4 linked regions of the Saccharomyces cerevisiae S288C genome follow. The gene in region 4 interacts genetically with the main gene of each other region. Each region holds a gene or a part of one and is shown on either strand. Other genes may lie near its edges.

Region 1 (5,552 bases), on a different chromosome or scaffold from region 4:
TCTGATGGTAAGTGGACAGCCATATTGGAAGACGATGATGACAGCGACAGTGACAGCAATGATGGTAGTAGAAGCCCAGAAAAAGGTACTTCAGTATCGGATCATCATTGTTCTTCTTCACATCCAAGTGAACCGATTATCATAAATCTCGATAGTGATGATGACGAACCAAATGGAAATAATCCTCATGTTACTAATAATCATGATGATAGCAACAGGCATAGTAATGATAACAATAATAATAGTATCAAAAATAATGATAGTCATAATAAAAATAATAATAATAATAATAATAACAATAATAATAATAATGATAATAATAATAGTATCGAAAATAATGATAGTAATAGTAATAATAAACATGATCATGGTAGTCGCAGTAATACTCCCAGTCATAATCATACTAAAAATTTAATGAACGATAATGATGACGATGATGATGATCGACTTATGGCGGAAATAACTAGCAATCACCTTAAAAGTACTAATACAGATATTCTAACTGAAAAAGGTTCAAGTGCACCCTCGAGAACCCTGGATCCAAAAAGTTATAACATAGTTGCTTCAGAAACTACTACTCCGGTGACAAACAGGGTTATTCCTGAGTACCTCGGAAACAGTTCCAGTTATATTGGTAAACAATTGCCGAACATTCTGGGAAAAACGCCTTTAAATGTGACTGCTGTTGATAATTCATCCCACTTAATCTCTCCAGATGTTAGCGTATCATCCCCAACGCCAAGAAACACCGCTTCAAATGCAAGTTCGAGCGCTCTCAGTACCCCTCCCTTAATAAGAATGAGTTCATTAGATCCCAGGGGATCCACTGTTCCCGATAAAACAATAAGGCCTCCCATAAATTCCAACAGTTATACTGCATCGATATCAGATTCATTTGTCCAGCCTCAAGAATCTTCAGTTTTTCCACCACGTGAACAGAATATGGATATGTCCTTTCCTTCCACCGTGAACTCAAGATTTAATGATCCACGTTTGAATACCACAAGATTCCCTGATTCAACATTGCGTGGGGCAACTATTTTGTCGAATAATGGGCTTGATCAAAGGAATAACTCTCTACCAACAACAGAAGCAATCACGAGGAATGACGTCGGGCGACAAAATTCTACGCCTGTACTTCCCACGTTGCCCCAGAACGTCCCAATTCGTACAAACTCTAACAAGTCTGGGCTTCCTTTGATAAACAATGAAAACAGTGTCCCCAATCCTCCCAACACTGCAACCATACCGTTGCAGAAGTCCAGACTCATTGTAAATCCATTCATTCCAAGGAGGCCTTACTCTAATGTACTGCCCCAAAAAAGACAACTTTCTAATACATCCTCAACTTCACCCATAATGGGTACATGGAAAACGCAAGATTATGGAAAGAAATACAACAGTGGTTAAAAACGAGGCTAAAATTGGACGGTTCCGTCCAGCTCTTTCATGAAATATTTTCTTTGTAATTGTGCATATGACCTTCATTTTCTATAATTTTCCGTTCGAAAAAGAAATATTTTCTTCTTTTCAATACTCAAAGGCAATATCACTGTTTGCATTCCCCTAGCATTTATTACCTACCAAATACAGATGCACAAGATTAGATAAAATCTTACATAACACAAAAATCCAGTCCATAACTAACACAATCATTACTATTATATAAAAGGTATTCCGACACCAACCTTATTCTTGTATTCTATGTATTCCGCGCTAAAGAACTCTATCAAATATTTTTCTTCCACACGAATTCTATCACTGAAAAATTTCCAAAGTACAAAAATGAAAATAACCAATGATAGGGGATTTAGAAGCAGTAGCTGAGTGCCAATTGCCCACCAAAAGAACCCAAGATAACTTGGATGTCTTGACCAGGAGTAAACGCCAGTTTTCACTAAAACATGATCGGACTCCTTCTTGGTCTTCACAATATGAGAAAAGGAATGTCCCGCAGTATGCATAGCAATAGTTCTGGTATATTGTCCCAGAATAACTAGAAGACATCCAAGTACTGTACAAAGCTTGGTAGCTAGAGAGTAGCTAAAAATTTTCAGATCAGGAAAAAGAAAGCTTTCTACGAGGCATTCCAGAATAGCAAAGGAATGTGCCGCCATGTAACTTTTGCCGTTGTTCAGAAGAAAGGACTCTGAATGTACCTTAAGAGGATTGTATTTAGCTGTAATATAATACTCCAAAAAATGGAATAAGGACAGGGCAATAATAAAGAGGTTAAAATTCTTGAATCTAATTTGTGGAAAAAGACCAACAAATATACCTAAAAGAATCCCCAGTATGTAGGAAGTCATGGTCACCTCATGCAGCGGATTGCGTCTGATGTCTGGATACTCATGCTCGTCTTCTTGAAAATCTTGGTGCATGTTGTGTTCAAAAACGGTGACCACAATGAAAGAGGAGGTAAAAAGAGTAATTATCTTGAAATCGATTTTCACTTTCTTATATAATTCATCAACACGAGAACCTTTCTATATACTGGTGGTATCATGTAAAGAATTGTTTTACCATAGTGGCCCATTTGTCAATTCGTCTTGAGTGATGTTTCATTATCAATCGGTTGCTATGCCAACGAAAATACTATGTCAGACTCTCTTGATGTATATAATGAATGGCAAAGTACATAGAAATAGATAAAAGTTGTTATTGTGAGTCGGAGGGGCTGTTTGTTTGTCCTACTCGTTGGCCGCGGCCTTGAAATTGGTTCAAATTCGATGGGCCACTTCTTAATTGACTTCCAGAAGCTCTGCCTGAATCTGTGCCACTGGTTTGAGACAATGTTGCAGGGGCCGTACCCAATCGTTGACCTCTTCCACTAAAAGTTCTCGTTTCTCTTTGCGAAGATGGCACATTGGCAAAGTTGTTGTTGAATGTTGCAGTTTCATTGTGGGCACCCGTTATGCGAGCATATAGACTAGTAAACCACCATGGCGTTGAGAATTTCCCATTGGGCGAGATTCCGTAGGTTGGATCAGCTTTTCTGGATATCATCCCCCATATTGGCCCCAGTGTATGGGTATCTAAGCATGTATAAAGGTACCCTGTAGTAAAACCGATCAATGAGATTACGAAATCACCCTCATTAAAAACGAAAGAGATAAACAATTGAATTAAGGGGAAGTACTTCCCCCAAACAGGAATCAAACCATAAAACATGATCTGCACGTTGGCATTGTCGATCGACCAAGTATATGTAATGCATGATATGAACCCAGAGGTGAGCACAACAGGGTAGTAGGACCCATAAATGATTGTAGTGGCCGTAGTGATGGCTAGTATACAAAAGCACAGGTAGTAGGCATAGTCTACTGTTACCATCGGTCCTCGTCTATTGGACAAACCGGGACCAAAATGCCCTCGCTCCAACTGTGAGGACCTGTCATAAATACTATATAGTTCCATTAGCGCAGGCATGGCACGAGACGAAAGCATTACACAAGAAGTAAGAAGTCTCCATATCTGAACCTTCTTGAACGTCAAATTCCAAACATAAATAAAGTACCACGGATTGATTAGATTCAACCGGCCGACGATCGTCATAACGATCGCTAGAGTAAATAAAGTTCTTGTTATTGGGGGGATATTTAACCAGAATTCTTTTGGGCCCATCACATCATTATTACGGCCTCCATTTCCATGTAATGTACGCACATTCCTTGGGCCTGCCATTATTTCCTCGAAAATAGTTTTTGATTTGACTTGGAAATGCGGAATTCACTGGTAATTTGTTGTATTTTGCCTTATATCCTTTGTTTGATACTCTTGTCTTATATTGAAGAGGACACGATTTCATGAGCCGCGAACGGGTAAGTAGGGACTTTTCACATTTGAAATTTTTCAAATGTGATGAGGATCGATTCTGCAAAGCAGCAGATAATAGCAGATAAAAAATAGAGAGTTGCAATATTCAAGTTCCTGGTAGCTGCTCGAATCAAGAGGGGTGAATTAAAGGTTTTCGATTTTTGCTATGGCTGTTCACACCAATAGGCAAATCCTTACAAGAGGCAAAAACTATGCTACAAAGCAATCAAAGAAATTCGGTACCGATGAGGTGACGTTCGACAAGGATTCTCGTTTGGATTATCTGACTGGCTTTCACAAGAGAAAGCTTCAAAGACAAAAGAAAGCACAAGAGTTTATTAAGGAGCAGGAAAGGCTTAGAAAAATTGAAGAAAGACAGAAGATTCGGCAGGAACGTAAGGAGGTGATGGAAGAACAGTTAAAGACGTTTAAAGAGAGTTTAAACTTGGAAGCTGAGATAGAGGATGCGAAAAATGATAAGACGGAGGATTTGCAGGTAGAATCTGATGAATCCTGGCACGGGTTTGATTCTGATAAAGATGACGGCGATAACGACAATAATGAAAGTAGCGTAAAGCCTATTTTGAAGAAAGGAGCAATCACGGAAATATACGATGACTCAACTACTGTTGAATTGGAGACATTGGAACCCAATGATAACTTTGAATATTTAGCCCAGCTAAATAATGTCAAATTAGAAAAGGCAGAAAAAGTACTCAAACAAAGCATAAATAGAGCCACCAAATACGCGAAGTTTCTGGGCGTGGATGAGAAACAAAAGAAGAAGCCAAGAGTAAAAAAGTTCAGATATTTGACCAAAAATGAACGAAGAATAAACCAAAGAAAGGCAAACGACAACAAGCGTAGGAGATAATGCAGTCGCATTATCGTCGGGCACCGCCTGGGGTTTCTTGACGCTCAAACAGTGTTTGATTTTTTTTTGGAAAAGTATATACTGTGCATATGTATTTTTCGTTTATTATATGTAATATATCGAATAAACCATTCTACGGGGAAAATAGAACAAATATTTACAGCATTTGCATGATTTTATATGGCTTGCCCAACAAATTATTTGCTTGCAAACTTAATATAATACTCTGCGTCCAATTTGAAAACGACCCATATGCCTCTTCTAATTACTTCGAAATACTGCATTTCGCCTTGGAAAAAAATGTAGTCGCTATCTGCGGCAACTAATTTCAGATTCTGCGATAAATATACCCATAGCCACCAGAACCTCAGCAAAAAGTCAACGAGAATCGCCGAATGATACATTTTTTTCTTTAATGTGACGGCACTTTTGGATCTGGATCTTAAAGAGGTTAACGAGTCCAATGACCAATCCATCCTTACATCCCAAAATAACGTATAGGAAGAATTAATTAGCATAAACCATCTTTGAACGTGGTGTAGTCTTTCTTCGTTGATGGATCCCTCATACACTCTTGATCTCCAGGTGCAAAAAAGAATGGGAAGATTACAACTGTATTTCAATGCATTGAATAGTAAAGTTGCTTCGTGCAGTAAACGGTATTCTCTCAAACACTGCAGTAGTCTTACCAGTACAGGAAGAAGGGCTACGGATAGATCAAAATGTGTGAAGGGTTCTCTAAAAATTAGAGAGGTAAACAATGTGAAGTCTATCAATGGTTTTGCAAACGATGTCAACGTGTCAGAGATTAAAATGTAGGTATTCCTTAAGGAACGGGGGGAGGATTCTATCAACAAACATC
Region 2 (6,626 bases), on a different chromosome or scaffold from region 4:
GGTTTGTTGGACAAATAGAAGCTCGTGAAGCGTGCGGTGTAATTGTAGATTTAATCAAGGCTAAAAAAATGTCAGGTAGAGCTATCCTATTAGCTGGTGGTCCTTCTACAGGTAAGACAGCATTGGCTCTCGCCATTTCACAAGAGTTAGGCCCAAAAGTTCCATTCTGTCCTCTTGTTGGTAGCGAATTATATTCCGTGGAGGTCAAAAAAACAGAAACCCTAATGGAAAATTTTAGAAGAGCAATTGGGTTAAGAATCAAAGAAACTAAGGAAGTTTATGAGGGTGAAGTGACAGAACTAACCCCTGAAGACGCAGAGAATCCGTTGGGCGGATATGGTAAAACTATCTCACATGTAATTGTCGGGCTCAAGTCTGCCAAGGGTACCAAGACACTAAGATTAGACCCAACGATATATGAAAGTATTCAAAGAGAAAAGGTTAGTATTGGTGATGTCATTTATATAGAGGCCAACACCGGTGCAGTTAAGCGAGTTGGCAGATCTGATGCATACGCTACTGAATTTGATTTGGAAACTGAGGAATACGTACCATTGCCAAAAGGCGAAGTGCATAAGAAAAAGGAAATTGTACAAGATGTTACCTTGCACGATTTGGATGTTGCAAACGCAAGACCACAAGGTGGTCAAGATGTCATATCAATGATGGGCCAGTTGCTCAAACCTAAGAAGACTGAAATAACCGAGAAATTAAGACAAGAGGTGAATAAAGTTGTTGCTAAATATATTGATCAAGGTGTCGCAGAACTTATTCCAGGTGTTTTGTTCATTGATGAAGTTAATATGCTAGACATTGAAATATTCACGTATTTGAACAAAGCGCTTGAATCTAATATCGCCCCCGTTGTTGTATTGGCTTCTAATAGGGGCATGACTACAGTCCGTGGCACTGAGGATGTGATATCACCACATGGTGTGCCACCTGATTTGATCGATAGATTGTTAATTGTTCGTACATTACCATATGACAAGGACGAGATCCGTACCATTATAGAGAGAAGAGCTACCGTTGAAAGATTGCAAGTAGAAAGTAGCGCATTGGACCTTTTAGCCACGATGGGTACAGAAACTTCGTTACGTTACGCTTTACAATTATTGGCACCATGTGGTATCCTAGCACAAACAAGCAATCGTAAGGAAATTGTTGTTAATGACGTTAATGAAGCCAAATTGCTGTTTTTGGATGCCAAAAGGTCAACAAAGATTTTAGAAACTTCCGCAAATTATTTGTAACAGTGAAGAAAGCCTAAAGCACATTTCATAAATAAAAATAAATATTACGCAAATCACTAAACCAAAAACATTGTATCAAAATGGGACCGTTATTTTTGAGCAAAAATTTCTATTTTTCCTTTTACTTACTACACACGCTTATTTCTTGCAGATATATAGATATATATATATATATATATATTAGTGTATCGTCATTGGGGCTAGATGCCAATTATGCATCGTTGTTGCTGCTATTACTTGCGCCAAGGCGAGAAATCTCATTTAAGAATTCAGCTGGTGTGGTAATGGCTGTGCTACCATACATGACTTTTTTGGGATTATGCAACTGGGAATGTGCCCATTCTTGGAGGTTTTGATATTCTAGGTAGTTACCGCCACCAACTACAAACACTAGTGACTTATTATAAGATTGTCTTTTTGGCTTTCTGGTATGGGAACCCCTTGTAATTTTTGGGTCGATGTATAGGTAACTGTCAGTAGTCTCCAAATTTTTTTGAGAGCTGTTTAAAGGGTCCATTATCGCATCAACAACATTTGTTATCGGGATGGTTTTCTTTTCAGGCAGTAACTTCTTAATACCTGATATTAAACTTCCTACACCTCCTTGTAATTTGCCTTCAGTTAAGCCATAGATACCGGATAATGTTAAGTTGCTTGGTTTGAAAGCGGAATCGGATCCATCTTCCAAAGATTTATTTTGTAACGACATATTTGATAATTGCATGAACTCTCTTAGCTTATAAACATATTTTAAAGCATTGATATCGTAATCGTTTTCCTTGAAATAGTTTTCCACATTTTGGACAAAATCCTTTGGTAAGCCTGTCGTTGATGTCAAGTAAAGAACAATAAACGATCTCAGTTTGTCCTCAAGATTGTTTGTCTTACCATCTTTTAGTATATCCAAAAACCTAGATCTTGTTTTGGTGCTTCCAGGGTCTTGTTCAACTTCAAAGAAAGTATCAAGACTTTTACTTTCCAATTGTGACAACAATGCAGCAAAAATATTCATATGTGTATCAATAGTATTTTTCTTAGCTGTTAACTCTGGCAGTTTCTTTACGACTTCCTGAATTTGAACCGTATCATTATTCGAGTTTGGGTCCAAATCTGATATGTTGGTAACACCAGTTTTCCTAGTAATTTCTGCGGCTTCCTCCTTGTACGTATTCAATGCCGCTTCAACGTTCTCTGCAGCTTCTGGGAATGGCAAATGAGAGTTTTCCATCCAAAAAAAATCGTTTGGCTCTATATCATATTTTTTCGTGGCTAATGGTTTTGCGGTGGTATTGTCAGTTCCGTTTTCCTTACTTTCAAGTGGAATAGTAACGGTGTTTCTTGATAATTTGAAAATATCAAAGACCATGCACTGATAAATCCACGAATGTGAAAACATGGAGGCAAAATCTATGTTTCTATCCAAAATAATCAACACTCCTCTTTCCAGAGAATCATTTCCCTGCAAAGTGGAAGTGGAGGAGGAATTGGTATTGATGACGAAATCACGTAATTTTGTACCCAGTTTCTCAGCGATGATCTCAGCAGGCCCACCCTTAGCTGCTCTTATAATGGGGATAGAATTGATCGTTAAGACAGTGTTGAATAAACCGTCCGCGATGTTGGCGCATAAGCCCGTGATTTCCTCTTCTGTGGTTTTCGGGTCATTCAATGTCAAGTATGCGTTTGAAATTTCTAGTGAGAACAGTTCCGGTTCAGTTACAATGAAGTCCAGGTATTGGTCGTAAACTTGTTTGATTTTATCAGATTTACCCGTGATGGAGACTTGTTGAGCCAAATCTTCCAGGAGGTTTCTGGGCAGAGATGAGGTAAAGTTGATGTAAAATTCAGAATACTTGTCGCTTTTCAAGTCATTGACTATAATGTCAATGTTTTCCTTTGTGGGGGAGACGAAATATATGGCAGGGACATCTGGCAAGGGAGATCTGTCTTGTTTAATCAAGGAATGAACGGTGATACCAGCTTTCAGCAGGTCATTGACTCTGAGAACAGAAGATATGGTAGCAGTGCTCTTGATGTCCAGTATCAACACCTTCCAGATGATCTCCTGCTGGTTAAAAATATCGTCTGTGATGGTGGTGATGTTGTCGTTGTTGTTCAAATCCTTATTTAAAAACAGCATTTTTAATATGGCAGAGATTTGCATATCTCTTAAACTAATGTCCTTGCGGGACGCAATTTCCTCCACAGCCATGATGTTGTGATTTTTGGTCAAAGATACTTAGCAACTGGCAATGACTATTATAAGTTATCATGTCAGGTTATTAAAGGCTGAGTTAGAATGGTGCTTCTTTTTTTTGTTTTTTTTTTGTCGTTTCTGCAATTACTGTGGTCAACGCGAAGAGGGAAACGGTGTTCTTTGGCAAAAATTGGTATGATATTTTATATAATAAATGTATATATACAAAATATGATGATGATGATAGTGACTGGAAAAAATATGTTACATAGAATTTTTGTATCTGACTACTATTACTACTAGTATTCGTGTTCTTGTTATTATTATTATTATTATTATTTTTTATTACTGTGGTGTTTCTTTCAAAGTGGATCTACCTGCCCTTAACAATTCATCGCATAATAACAAGTTGCTGGCAATACCTGTAGCACCGGTAATAGCATTTCTTAGTACGCGGTAGGAATCCCAAATACCCTCGATGGTAGGGTCGCAAGAATCACCTATGTTCAAGTCCACACCAACATATCTCGTTTCGTCAGAATCCTGAGCGTCATCCAACTCGTCCTCCACCATTGCGAGCACGTCCAATGGGTCGAATCCTGAGTTCTTCACCAAAGTCTTTGGAATTACCAGCAATGCTTCTGCGAACGCCTCAATACCTGTCTTTGTTTTACCCTTGGCACCCAACTTGTTCATGTTGGCAGATCTTAGGTATCTCGAAAGGGCGATGTAGAACGCACCAGCGCCTGGAATGATGTTTTTGTCCTTGAGAACGTTTGCCACAGCTCTGAGACCATCTCTCACCGCATCCTTTGTTTGAGCGAGGGCATAATGAGTGGAGCCCTTGATTAAGATGGTGCAAGACTTGGGGTCAGTGTTCTCTGTAACGTATGTGAATTTTTCCTCGCCTATGGTTTCTTGGTAGACCAAGCCAGAAAACCCAAGAATCTGAGGCGACAAGTCTTCCACAGAGTTCTGAGCTTCACCGCCAGTGACCAATTGCAATCTTTCCATGTTACGTCTCTTGGCCCTTCTCAAAGCCAAGATGTTGTGTTTGGCAAACACGTCTAAAGACATGGGGTCAATGCCTTTTTGGTTAATGATAACAAAACCCTTGTCTGGATCCATGCCACAAACTTCGTTTTTCAAGTCGATGATCTTCTTCAACTTGGCATCCACAAACTTCCTCTCACTAGCGGCCAACTTGTCCCTTTGGTCCGCAGAACTGTAAAAGAACCCAGAGTTAACTTCAGTCTTCTCGTATTCCAAAGATACGTTCAAAATCAAAACATACGCGTTCTTCACACGGGTGGGCATGTCAGGATGCCTACCACCGTGGTCCAATACCAAACCCTTAATAAAAGTGGTATCTTTAGGAGACAAGTGCTGCATCTGCATGATCTCAACCATGTGTAAATCCAAATTGTCAGCCTGCGCGTCGTACACGCTTAGCACCGCATCCGTTACAATGGGCGTCAAGACCTCCGTCAAGTCAGCGTCCACCTTGGTTAGCAGCGACGACCGGGCCACTTGCAGAAGGAACTCTCTATCATTGGAAAGGTTCGTCTTACTGATCTTGAATTCGTCCAAAAATTTCATGGACTCCTTCCGCGCAATCTCAAACCCATCAGTGATGATCCGCGGATGCACGCCCTCTTGAATGAAACGGTGCGCTTGTCTAAGCAATTCACCCACAAGACACACAACCGTCGTGGTCCCATCGCCCGTGATTTCATCCTGCGCGGCAGCTGCCCTAGCAATCAGTACCGCTGTAGGCGACTGGATCTGCATCTCGGTCAGCAACACTTTACCGTCCTTGGTCAGCTTGATGTTACCAGCACCATCCACAAGCATCTTTAGCGTGCCCTTAGGGCCCAAGTTGGTCTCTAGGACGGATTGTAAGCCCTCAGCAGATGTGACGTTAACCTTCAAAGCCGCATCCCTTCTCAACGATTCAGCCTTCGGATTCAACAATTGCAATGACATGCTTCTACTCTACTTATATTATAATCTTCTGCTTCTCACTGCTTCCACACCCTTAACCTTTACCTTTTCCACACACTGCACACATACACTGTTATACATAATCCTTTCCGTCTTTCGTTCGTTTCTTACCAGAATAACAACTACTAACACATCACCGAGCGAAAATTTTGCCACCAAAGCAAAACTCCCGTAAACAGTGATCCACGGCCCGTATCCATTCTGCCGCAGAACCCACACCTCTCACTCTATCGAAAAACAGCCTACTCCCAGGGTCCCCAAAATGAAAGCTCACTGCAATGGGAAACGATAATCACAACAAGGGAATGCAATTAAAGAAAGATATACGGTACACGAAAGGGAGAAGCGACGGCGTTAACCTATTTGCAAACGACCGAGTCAGACAGCTCAGGTCCAGTCACGTTAAAGTGGGTTACTTTGAGCTGAGGTGTGCGGTTGCGGGGCGTGGGTGTGCGCGCCGTTGCCATGCTTACCGTTCTCGTTGCGCTCGTTGCTCGTATTGCCTCGTCTGTTCTTGTCTCGTAGCTTTTTTATTATTTGGGTTAATCGCGTTGTTGAACAAGAAAGTATGATAGTTGTTGAACCGGCCCCTCGTCCCGTTCTATCTTTCTACGGGTGTCGTGTCTATTATTTTATTGTTTTCCTACTAAGGTTCTTTGCTATTGTTCTTTTAATTTTTGGTTTGTAGCTGACTACACGTTTCAAACCCAATCTTGGCAGCCCGGATCTTCATCACTCAGCTTTTCCCTACTTTTTTTTTTTTTCGTTTCCTTTTTCTTCTTTTCTTTTTCTATTTAAGAGAGAAGTTGGCGAACTTGAAGTACACATACACGCTCTCCCTCGCATCCCGGAGCTCGCAATCAACCACTATTACTAATCACATCCTAAATTTTGGGAAGCCTACACTACGATGGACACTGTCGGTACGGACGCAGCAGCCGCGAGCATTAATGAGCGTCGCTTTGCCCAGTCCACTTCACCAAAAGTTAGTGTGAAGTCACAGGACTCGCTGTTTCTGATCACTTACTCCAACATGCAGCAGACAGTGGTACAAGCGTCTTTGGCGGACCGGTACCCTTCGCTAAAGAAGCTTAACATCCTACTTTACATAGATATCCCTACGATCGACTACTACAACGATGAGATGACTCATAACAAGCTTTCCAGACTGA
Region 3 (4,726 bases), on a different chromosome or scaffold from region 4:
ACTCATAAAGAGTCACCATTGAGACCAAAAGTTCGGCCATTGAGCGAGCAAGGTGAATATGAATCCAGAAAACTGTGGAAAAAGGTTACAGATGCGTTGGCCGTTCGCAATCATCCTGTTGCGACAGAAGAAAAATTTCAGATTGAAGATCACCAAAGACAGTTAGCCAAAAAACGCATTGAAGATGGCGTAGAATTTCATCCAAAGTTGTTTAGAAGATCAAAGCCTGGCGAAGATCTTGACTATTGTATTTATAAAAATATCCCTGTCGACGAGGACCCTGAGAAGCAAATACGAAGCATATTGCAAATAGCACCTATTTTACCTGGTCAACAATTTACCGACAAATTTTTCATCCCCGCATTTGAGAAAATAAAATCACAAAAGAAGATGATTGAAAACGAAAAGCAGAACCCAGCAAAACAATAGTGTATATGTTGGATATGATATTTGTTGTAAATTATAGATTAGTTTTTTTATATGTTTTTCTTTTTTTTGTTCTAACTATCTGATTGTTCTTTCTTATTTTTATCCAAAAACTTATTTAAGAAAAGCTTTTTATAGCCAAAATGTGCAAAATTCACAGAAGTTAGAAGATCGTTTGAAAATTTCTCAGGTACTATTGGAGTATTATTTATCATTTTGATATGACCACTGTTCTCTTCAAAATTCAGAATTTCATTTCTCCAAGTCAATAAGACAGAGTCCATTTCAATTCTAAGGGTGATATTAAATTTCGTAATTTGCAGAAGACACAGATATGGAGGCCAATCTGCAGCATACGTTCGATCAATCCATTTTACTAATTCCTGAGTAAATGCATCCGCAGGCTGTACTTGAAAATTCAAATCCACTTTATTTATCTTGAACGGAACATTAAAAGAGCTTGTTAGTCTTTGAAAATCACGTATATTATCGGTTTTTTTTTCCTCCTGCTGGCATACCATATATGCTAATGCGCTCCATGAGGAACAATCCTTAACATTTTGAAAGCAAAATCTCTTAGTCAAATTGAAGAGCTCAATTCTTTTATTGTAAGGTAAATTATCGTAGAACCACCTAGCAGTATTCCAACAGTAGTAATTAGAGAAATGTTGGGATCCAGAAGAATGAAATACAAATAAAATATCTGGAAGAACCAGTGTATTAGCATCAAGAGATAAAACGAATAGTTTTCGGTATAATATCCAAAGAGATGACGACTTGTTGATACGATTGTTTGATGAACAAAGAAGCCGTTGAATCAGTCTTACTTCTTTGACCAATAAATCCGGTATTACTAAAACACTGTTGTCCTGGAAGTATCTCTTGAGTAAATCTTCGTGTACATTATATACCGTTTTGTTTTCAGGTGTTGTAAGTAGAAATCCAACAGTCATGTAATAAATATTCTCATTAGAAATGCCGCCTAATTTACATCAATATGTAGAATTGTTAGTAGCCGTAACAATGAATCCAAAATGCGTATTGTAAAATAGCAATAGTTTTTTGTATTTTACCGTTGAGACATACTTTGATCAGAGAAAGTTTTGTTAAAATATGTATGTGCTTCTTGGAAAAGAGATAAAAATGTTGTTTTGAAGATAATTAGTTCTATGGAATGGGCTTTTTCGTCTACGTAGTAAGGGAGAGTAATTGAAGGCTGATTGGCAGTAATGGTTAACCTGAAATCATGATAATCTAAATATGCAGTTATTTTTTCAAAAAATTCTCTGCAAAGGGGAAGAGAAGATTGCATAACTTCAACAATTGTTTTGAGCGTTTCCTTTTAGCATTTTTTTGTTTGGCTTTTGTTTGTTCTTTTGTGTACTTTTCATGTATTTGATCTTCCATGTGCAAAAATAAGTGAAAAAGAGCTGAACTAAATGTAGTATTAAAATCAAGAACAAAACATAAAAAGGAAAGGAGAAAATGGAACAATTGCTTAGTCAAATAATGTGAAGTTATAAAACTGCCGGAAGCCTATAAAAAATATTTTCTTTACTGAGACCGTGATCAGGAGAACGAATGTGTATTAATAGCTGTATATATCTTATAAAGACGAAGCCTATTTACTATCAACGCTATGTAAGTTTGTACTATTATCCTTGTGAAACAAATAATTGGAGGACAGTCAATAGCATCATCTAACATCGTGAAACGAATCAGTGATTGAAAGGAATTAAATGAGCAACGTGCATAAATAATATCGGTAAAGAAAAAAGAGCGCAATGGTTTCATGACTATTCTACACCAAGTTGTTGCGCCATTTTATCTAAGCTGATCCCCTTTTCTGGTATGCTTACAGGAAGAGAATAGAAATACTCTTCGTCAAATTCAACTTCGTCATCTGACCAATCGTTATCATCATCTGAGTCATCGATACTATGATCTCTAAAAGATACCCGCGACCGGTAAGAAAACCCCAACATCATCAATGTAGTAATTGATACTGTGATGGCAGTGAATATGAAAATCCTTTTGTCTAATTGAGATGCCGCCGATATGAATTCACCAGAATCTAGTTCTGGTAAGTGCGGCACTTGCGAAAAGGTTGTAGAGAACAGTGTGGCCTGCTCATTAGCAGCGCCTGGATCAGAAATCTTATCTCTTCTTACTACTGTTGGTGTACCTCCTTCATCTGGTGAAGCGAGCTCACCATTAGCGCTAAAGAGACCAAAATTTATTCCCGCTTTTTTATTCAATCCATCCGGATTAAGTACTGCTACTAACGACTTCGTTGCGATAGCATTTGTTGTCGTAGTAGTCGTGATACTCAAAAACGTCGAAGTTGCGGTACTTGTTACGATTTTAGTTCTTGGAAACCATCTTCTTTTGGCTTTTGTCGACGTGATTAAAGTCGTCCCTGTTTCAGTATCAGTCTTGGTCCTGTAAAACCTGTTCACTGTGGTTATTATTTTAGGACTTTGGTATTCATTCACTAAGTAACGAGTAAAAATTTTCTTTGGCCTCCAAGAACTCCACCTTGTCATATGAATTTCGGTGGCAGTGTGAAATAATGGGGCCTTCGTATTTCGTTCTTTTTTACTGCCACTTTTATCATCGGTATCCTTACTACAGTTTTCAGAACTAACTTTCTTGTTCTCATGGTATTCGATTTTACCTTCCCACTTCTTATCTTTCACACTACAGTCACCGTCGTTTTCTTCTTCATAACCAGTAGCTGGAGACAGAGTTTTACCACTTATCGTTCTTTCGCGCAAATATTGAACTTCATTATTAGCGTCAACCACTTCGAACATGTCAACTGATGATATAGTCTTTTGATTATTGGTTAAAGAGGTTAATAGTGCAGAAATTAATTGGTTTTTTTCGAACTGCAAAGGGTTCCTAAAAAGAGTATTGTTTTGACCAACGAAATAAGACAATTTTCTACTAGAAAATTTGTTGCCTCTAGGTTTCAAAATCTCTCCGTCATCTAAAACTCCATTTGTCAATTGAAATTGTTCAACAACGATCTGCAACTTGTCATACTCATCTTTGGAGGTACAGTAATCGTGAAAGCAGCTATTATTAAGGGAACTCAAGGCACACTGTAAACATTTGCAGTTATCCAAGTCCTCCATTGTTTCATTATTCACAGTAACGCATGACCGACAAAATGCATATTGTTCATCAAAATAACGGGACACGCATTCACTTAAATTTCGTTTCTTCACATGGATCTTGTCAGTAATAAAATCTAGAGAATATTAGTACCTCGGTAAATTTGTTGTACATACGCAACTGGAGAGGAAGGGGGAAATCAGTTGTGAATTGTAACCTGGACATAAGTTAGGATCTGCCACAGTTTTGCTTTGAACCGCTGCGAGAACGCTCCCACCACCACCGGCAAAGAGAACCAGCAGAGCGCTTAGACATTCCAACATTATCAGTATATCTCGTGTGTTCCTGCCTCTTGATGATTTTAGCTAGCTGTAATGTGTAACGAATTATTCCCTTACTGCTTCTTGAGTTAGCCGCCAAAGAGGAAATATAGCCACAAAAAGAACTTACAGAAAAGATAAGGTAAAAAAAAAAAGTGATCTATAATGGGAAAGAAAAATCCAAACTTCTTCAAAGAGTATATATATGTACAGGATATTAAAATGTAATGATAGTAGTAATAATAGTATTAACATAAGCTAAGCGGATCTTGCTGTTTCCAAAGCTTTTCTTGTTGCATCATCCTCTAACTTTTGAATTTCTTTCATAATAGTATCATATTTACTTTTTTGCTCTTTAGAAGTAACATCGTTAACAACATATATGTTTGGTGACGCGTAATTATCAGAAAATGGGTGGATAGCATTTGGCTCAGCTTCTTTATAAGCGAGTTTAGGATCGTTGGCAGATGGCAAAATTTTTTCCTTAATATACCTTTTAAACTGCAAGGGTGTGCTTAAAGTGGTCAGTTCATAATCAGGAATTAGATAGCCAGATTTAGATTGCAAAAATTTGGTGAACTGAAATTTAGCTACCAAATCAGAGAATTGGACGTCCTGGTCTACTTTGCCCAATGTTTTTTCCGTTGCCTGCAATATCATATCATCTAACTGATTATCAGACGTAATCTTATCCCTGGATAACCACTGATTGAATGGCGCAGAGGAGACCGCAAGCTTCAACTCCTTCTGTCTCTTACACCGTCTAGACCCTTCGCCAATAAAATTTTCTGGTATTAGCTCCAATCTGTTTTTGTTATTGGAAGAGGATTGAGAGGAAGCCTCGTTAGTGCCTTCTTCAA
Region 4 (5,272 bases):
GTTTGGAGTGTTGTTGGTTGGAAATTTCTGTCGTATTGCTCCTCTTCTTGTTCTTTTTCTTTGCCTCCTCTTCTTCTCTGTCTCTAGAGTTACTTTTGGTACTACTTACACTAACGGCCGGCTGTAGTTGGGGCAAGCTCTCGGAATCGCTTTCCTCTTTCTTTTCTATCTCTATTGCGCCTTCCAATTGTGGTTGTAATGGTATCTGCTGCTGCGGCTGAGAATCTTTAAGGGTTTTTACGCTTATTTTTTGGGAACCATGACGGCTGTGATGGTGACGGTGAGGACGAGGGCGATTGCGCAACACAATGGGTTCAACCGGCTCCCTTCCACTTTTGTTACCAAGCTTTTTGCTTTTCCTCACGCGAACGTGCACGGCATCGTTATTTGGTATTGATGGTGACGATGATGGTGACGACGAGGGTGATGATGATGCATCATGCTTGTGGTGTGGCTTTCTTCTGAATAGGTTCGCAAAAGTTTTCTCGATTTTCTGTCTTGTCTGTGATGTGGCGGTGGAAGTACTTGAATTGTTCATTTCTTCTTTATTTGACACCTCCGTCTTCTCACCGCCATTAAATAGAGAAATATAATGTTTTTTGGAATTGTCGAGCTCCATTCTTTGTGAATCCACGTTTTCTTCATTTTCATCGTCCCCTTGGTTTTCTTCGTTATCGTCTTCTCTGCTCATTTTATTGTTCAACCATGTCCATCCGTTTCTTCGACGATGTCGCTTCGTTTCTTTGTTGTCATCCGTTGCGCTTGGCTTTACCATGTCTGTTGTTCCCTCTCTTAACTCTAAGTCTTGTTCTACTGTGTCATTTCGAACCTTGACGGGTACCTCTTCGGCTTCTTTCTCTATTCCCATTTCTTGTTCCCACTCGCCACTAGACTGTCTGTAATGATTATAAATGTCTTGAAAATCACCAATTGACCCAGGCGAACTCATATTCTCAGAATCCTCATCTTGCTGTCTAAAAGGGGATTTGTGCGGATCTATTTCGACCTTTATTGTATTCTTGGTCAATTTTAGACGTTCTTCGTCGTCGTTTTTCATTTCATCCACACTTTGTTCTACTTCTTTTTCTTGCTCTTGTGACCTGATTCGATAAGTGTTGAATCTACTCCTTCTCAGTGACGATCGTTCAGGCCATGTCATGGTATTATTGATGGGCATATTGGAGGCAAATTCACCATCATCCAAAGTATTCGCTTGTGAAGTTGAAAAACCAATATCTCCTTCATCATAATGCCCTTCCGGTTGTGGTTGATCTTTTTTATCTGAATATGAACCAGCCATACTAAGAGTTCTGGCTAATGTAATGGCATCATTGTCGGTTAGTCCTGCACTATTTGAGATCTTTGTCAGTTCTTCAGTTATATCTCTTAACGACACTGGTCTCTCTTTTATTTTGGAGATTCTTTCTTCGACTTTATTTACTGTTTCAGAGGCACTGTCTCCCTTATTATCGTCATCTTCGTTATCATCAAACTCTGTATATGACCTCCGCAATGTTGAAGGCCTTCGTATTAGTGACGCGTTTCCATGCCTTGACAGCCCCCTGTTCAAGTTGATAGTGTTGTTCTCCTTATTTTCATATGATTGTGATTCTTTATCCTCCCCATTATCCTCAATATCGTTATTTTCATTGCTATTCCCATCATTATCTTCACCATTGTCGCTTAGTTGTATATTTTGTAAAGTATCTTGTACAAGCTCTAGGAAATTATCAGGCTTAACGTTAGGGTGTTGATTGGCGGGAACCCATAATAAGTTTTTCTTTAATACGTTAGCATTTAATTTCCTGGATGGAGAGTGAACACCTTTTTTTATACCTAAGTAGTTACCTTGTTTAGTCTTATTGGAGGATTCTATCCCTGAGTTACCCCTCCCATGCAAGTTCTCTAGCGGAGTTGGATCGCTATATCGTGTGTTATTAACGGTGGTTGTGTCACTTGGCATTGACGCAGAACTGGATGTCGTGCCAGACCATGATCGTCTCCCACTAGATTCCCCACCGAATTTTATATCTAATTCTGGATCAATAAGTAAATCCATTGACCCAATCGACAATCTTTTTAGGTTTTTTACGCTGCGGATTTCATTGTCAAGGGACTGTGCAGCAATCAAAACTTCAGACTTCCGTTTATCCCTTTGACTAGCGATCGCCTTATCGCTTGATGTAGTACGCAGCATGCTCTCGTTATCTCTATTGGACATTATAAAAGACAGCTAAATTCTCCTTTGAATTGAAAATATGTAACCCACAAAACAAACCAAAACTAACTAAGACCTTAAATTCTAGGAGACCAAATAAAAACCTTAAAAAAAGAAAAACGTCGAAACCTATTAGATGCCACCTTCTCTCTACTCTTAGATCTGACAACTTCAATACCACTGACACGAACGACTTGTTATTGAGTCCGTAATACAAAGTATAGGTACTTTATAGTCCTCCAAATTCTTTCACCAAAACACCAAAACTCGATTTTTTCACTCTTCCGTAACAAAAGCCCGGTCGCTCGATAGAATTCCATAATAGTAGTGAAAAAAGGTTATAGTACATAGGAAATTTTAAACGGTATACAAGTACGTAAAAAAGGCTAAAGGGTTATTCTATAACCAGGAGTTCCTACCAGAGTTTGTAAGGTATCCTTCAGGGATATTAATCCAAGGACCAGCAGTGCGAAGTAGCACTTATTCCAGATTGAGACCAATTTGGAAATGCGTCCAGCTTTCTTGTCTACTACTGTGAAATGTAAATTCAATCTTGAAGGACCAGGAAACCCCATGATATTGCAAAGGGCATGCAGGATTATGCAGCACCATAGGTTCCCGCCTGTTCTTACGAATACAAACTTGGTTAACCCTCCAAAAAGTGTTGTGTATAAAATTTGGAAGCATGTTGTCAGCAGAATGGAAACAGTTGTCATGGAGCCTTCCTGTAATTGCTCATAAGCATGGTGTGCGTGCGCAAGTCCAAAAAAAAGCGATGGTTGCCAAAATAACTGTTGATAGCTTAGTTGCGAATGCGGTATTAGGTTTAAGTACGTAGTCAAAAGCATTGACGTGTAAAATATTTCCTCAGTTATTGGTGCAAATATAAAATTCCTGAAACTCCAAATATTCAGGAATTCATGGTAAAAATCTTCAAGTATAGAGCTCTTTGGATTTAATAAATGATATAATACAAAATCTAAAACGGGTCCACAATATAAGGTCAATAACATCGCAACACATTTCGTTAAGTCTTTCACGAACTGGCTGAATTGCCAAGGGTTTGGCAATGCAGCGTAATAACCTGGGATAATACCTAAGCCTAAAAATGCGTCCTTGAAACTTATATGTGAAGTGGTACTAGATAATTGAGATTGTAAAAAAGGCACCAAAAAAAGGTTGGAAATTAGCATAATTGTAAGTTTTTGCATGCGAGATTTAATCGTTCGAGGATTATCTCGTTTAGACCCTTCTGGTTGTGAAGTTGCATATAGCGGTAGCACATAGGATATGGAGATGTATAGGAGCACTAGAAATGTTGAGAATTGTAGCATTGCTGTTCTGGTTCTCTCTATGACAGACAGTCAGTAGTCAAAGCATCAATTTATTTCGTTTTATTTTTCTTGACAAAGAAAATTCTATGTTTTGTTCCTGAAATCTCGATATTTTAGTAACTTAAAATAAAGGTAATAAAATCATCAAAGGTTTTCCATCCAGTGGTCCAAAAAAAAAAAAATACAGAAGCAACAAAAGAGCACCAGAAAATGCATTTTAAAAGAATTTTATTAATAATAGGGAATACAAAGGACGCGATAAATACCTTCATCTATAAGCAAACCATACATATATCTATATCTATAAGAAAAGTAACGAGAATTTTTTCTAATGTTTTTTTATTTTGTCACTTGCCTAACAGAAATAGGGATATCAATCTTCGCTACGCCAAGATGGTTTTCAAATTTAATCATTACTCGAACGCAATAAAACCTACAACATAGGCAGCTTTCAAAACTTGGAATTAAAGTTTCCTTAATGTCCTTATTAAATTCCAAGTTCACATTAATGTCTCGTTTGTACTGTAAAGGAGCAATCCTAACCCATTTATGAACAATCTGGTCTGTAAATTTCAGGGAAGTAGACGAGCTACCGCTAGGTAAAAATAAACTACTCTTGGATGAAGAAGTTACTGGCGTTAATGACGCTGAACTGGGCGACGATGAACTACCGTTACCTGTGTGCGATATTGAATCCTCAGATAATGCGTGCTTTGAGTGTTGTTTTAGGGTACTGACCTGTTTTTTAAAAATGTTGGATAAGTTGTGAACACTAACTTTCAAGTTGCAAATGCTTTCGATATCGTTAAACAGCTGTGAAGTAATAAAATCTGTAAATTTCAGTTCCTTTGGCCTACGGTCTCCCCTATTCATATTATATAACTCATTTAATTCAAGAAAATTCTTGTTGAACTTGGTTTCATATTCACAAATTTTTGAATGGAAATCATCGTACAAAGCTTTGATGCTTGTCAGCTTCTCTTTGTTCATCAACAGTTCAGAATTGAGTTTTATTGGGATAGAATTATCAGATTTAGCAGTTATACATATCAGTTCTGTGGTAATCGATTGAATTTCTGGCGGATCATGAGGTAAGCTATTATCGGATTCTATGCAAGTCAATTGTAAATCAAGTTTTTCCAATGGTTTTTTTACGTCTTCCGGAATCAACTCAGACAATCTCACCCAATTTTCTTGGTCGTGTTTACTCTTAGATTCAAAAACATTGGTCTTTCTCAATAATGAGGGAGCCCAATATGGTAGGCCCTGTTTTGGAATTTTCGCCTTTACTAGTATTAGCCCTGTCCTTTCTTTATTTCCCGTTAAATCATGATTATTCTTTCCCGCATTTGAGGAAGAGGACATTGAGCTGGAACTGCTGTTTAAAAAATGAGAGAAGTTCAGAAATGAGGAGGAATTGGATTTGTTTTTCAGTTTATATTTTAGTTCACTTTCAACAAAGGGACCCCAAGCTCTGGAAGTATCGGTATTATGACCACTATTTCCACTGCGGCCATTGTCCAAATCGTGGCCCAACTTCAAATCGTTATAGTTGACTAAATAGTTATTTCTGTTCTTAATGTGCAGTTGGTCCAATTTCCTCTGCAAAATTTCTTGGGAGTCTGATTCAATAGAATCATCAATGGTACCACTCAAGTCTGCACCGTGAATGTCGCGGTTCGTTATGGGTTCTTTTTTCTCTAATCTCTGAAAGATTTTT

What was found.
Region 1: of RCE1 (region 4) and STE14, changing one enhances a phenotype caused by changing the other (phenotypic enhancement), as found in Saccharomyces cerevisiae (one study listed by BioGRID).
Region 2: mutations in RCE1 (region 4) and SLY1 together harm fitness more than expected from each alone (negative genetic interaction), as found in Saccharomyces cerevisiae (2 studies listed by BioGRID).
Region 3: of RCE1 (region 4) and ECM9, a mutation in one rescues a mutant of the other (synthetic rescue), as found in Saccharomyces cerevisiae (one study listed by BioGRID).

Annotation. Positions count from the first base shown.
Region 1 is NC_001136.10:1,290,711-1,296,262, forward strand, and holds STE14 (protein-S-isoprenylcysteine carboxyl O-methyltransferase), read right to left. Parts: upstream 2,382-5,552; coding exon 1,662-2,381; downstream 1-1,661. Other genes in the region: SUMO ligase SIZ1, read left to right, coding at 1-1,410; DFM1 (Dfm1p), read right to left, coding at 2,659-3,684; rRNA-processing protein RRP17, read left to right, coding at 3,983-4,690; ERD1 (Erd1p), read right to left, coding at 4,888-5,552. UniProt on the Saccharomyces cerevisiae protein: Mediates C-terminal methylation of the isoprenylated C-terminal cysteine in A-factor mating pheromone and Ras proteins.
Region 2 is NC_001136.10:835,231-841,856, reverse strand, and holds SLY1 (syntaxin-binding protein), read right to left. Parts: upstream 3,466-6,626; coding exon 1,465-3,465; downstream 1-1,464. Other genes in the region: RVB1 (RuvB family ATP-dependent DNA helicase pontin), read left to right, coding at 1-1,253; chaperonin-containing T-complex subunit CCT6, read right to left, coding at 3,796-5,436; SND1 (Snd1p), read left to right, coding at 6,365-6,626. UniProt on the Saccharomyces cerevisiae protein: Able to suppress the functional loss of YPT1. SLY1 is essential for cell viability. May interact indirectly, or directly with YPT1.
Region 3 is NC_001143.9:446,299-451,024, forward strand, and holds ECM9 (Ecm9p), read right to left. Parts: upstream 1,739-4,726; coding exon 1,513-1,738; intron 1,409-1,512; coding exon 501-1,408; downstream 1-500. Other genes in the region: oxysterol-binding protein OSH6, read left to right, coding at 1-429; YKR005C (uncharacterized protein), read right to left, coding at 2,223-3,653, 3,723-3,869; mitochondrial 54S ribosomal protein mL50 MRPL13, read right to left, coding at 4,125-4,726. UniProt on the Saccharomyces cerevisiae protein: May be involved in cell wall organization and biogenesis.
Region 4 is NC_001145.3:811,760-817,031, forward strand, and holds RCE1 (CAAX prenyl protease), read right to left. Parts: upstream 3,553-5,272; coding exon 2,605-3,552; downstream 1-2,604. Other genes in the region: ZDS1 (Zds1p), read right to left, coding at 1-2,221; ubiquitin-ubiquitin ligase BUL1, read right to left, coding at 3,892-5,272. UniProt on the Saccharomyces cerevisiae protein: Protease involved in the processing of a variety of prenylated proteins containing the C-terminal CAAX motif, where C is a cysteine modified with an isoprenoid lipid, A is an aliphatic amino acid and X is any C-terminal amino acid.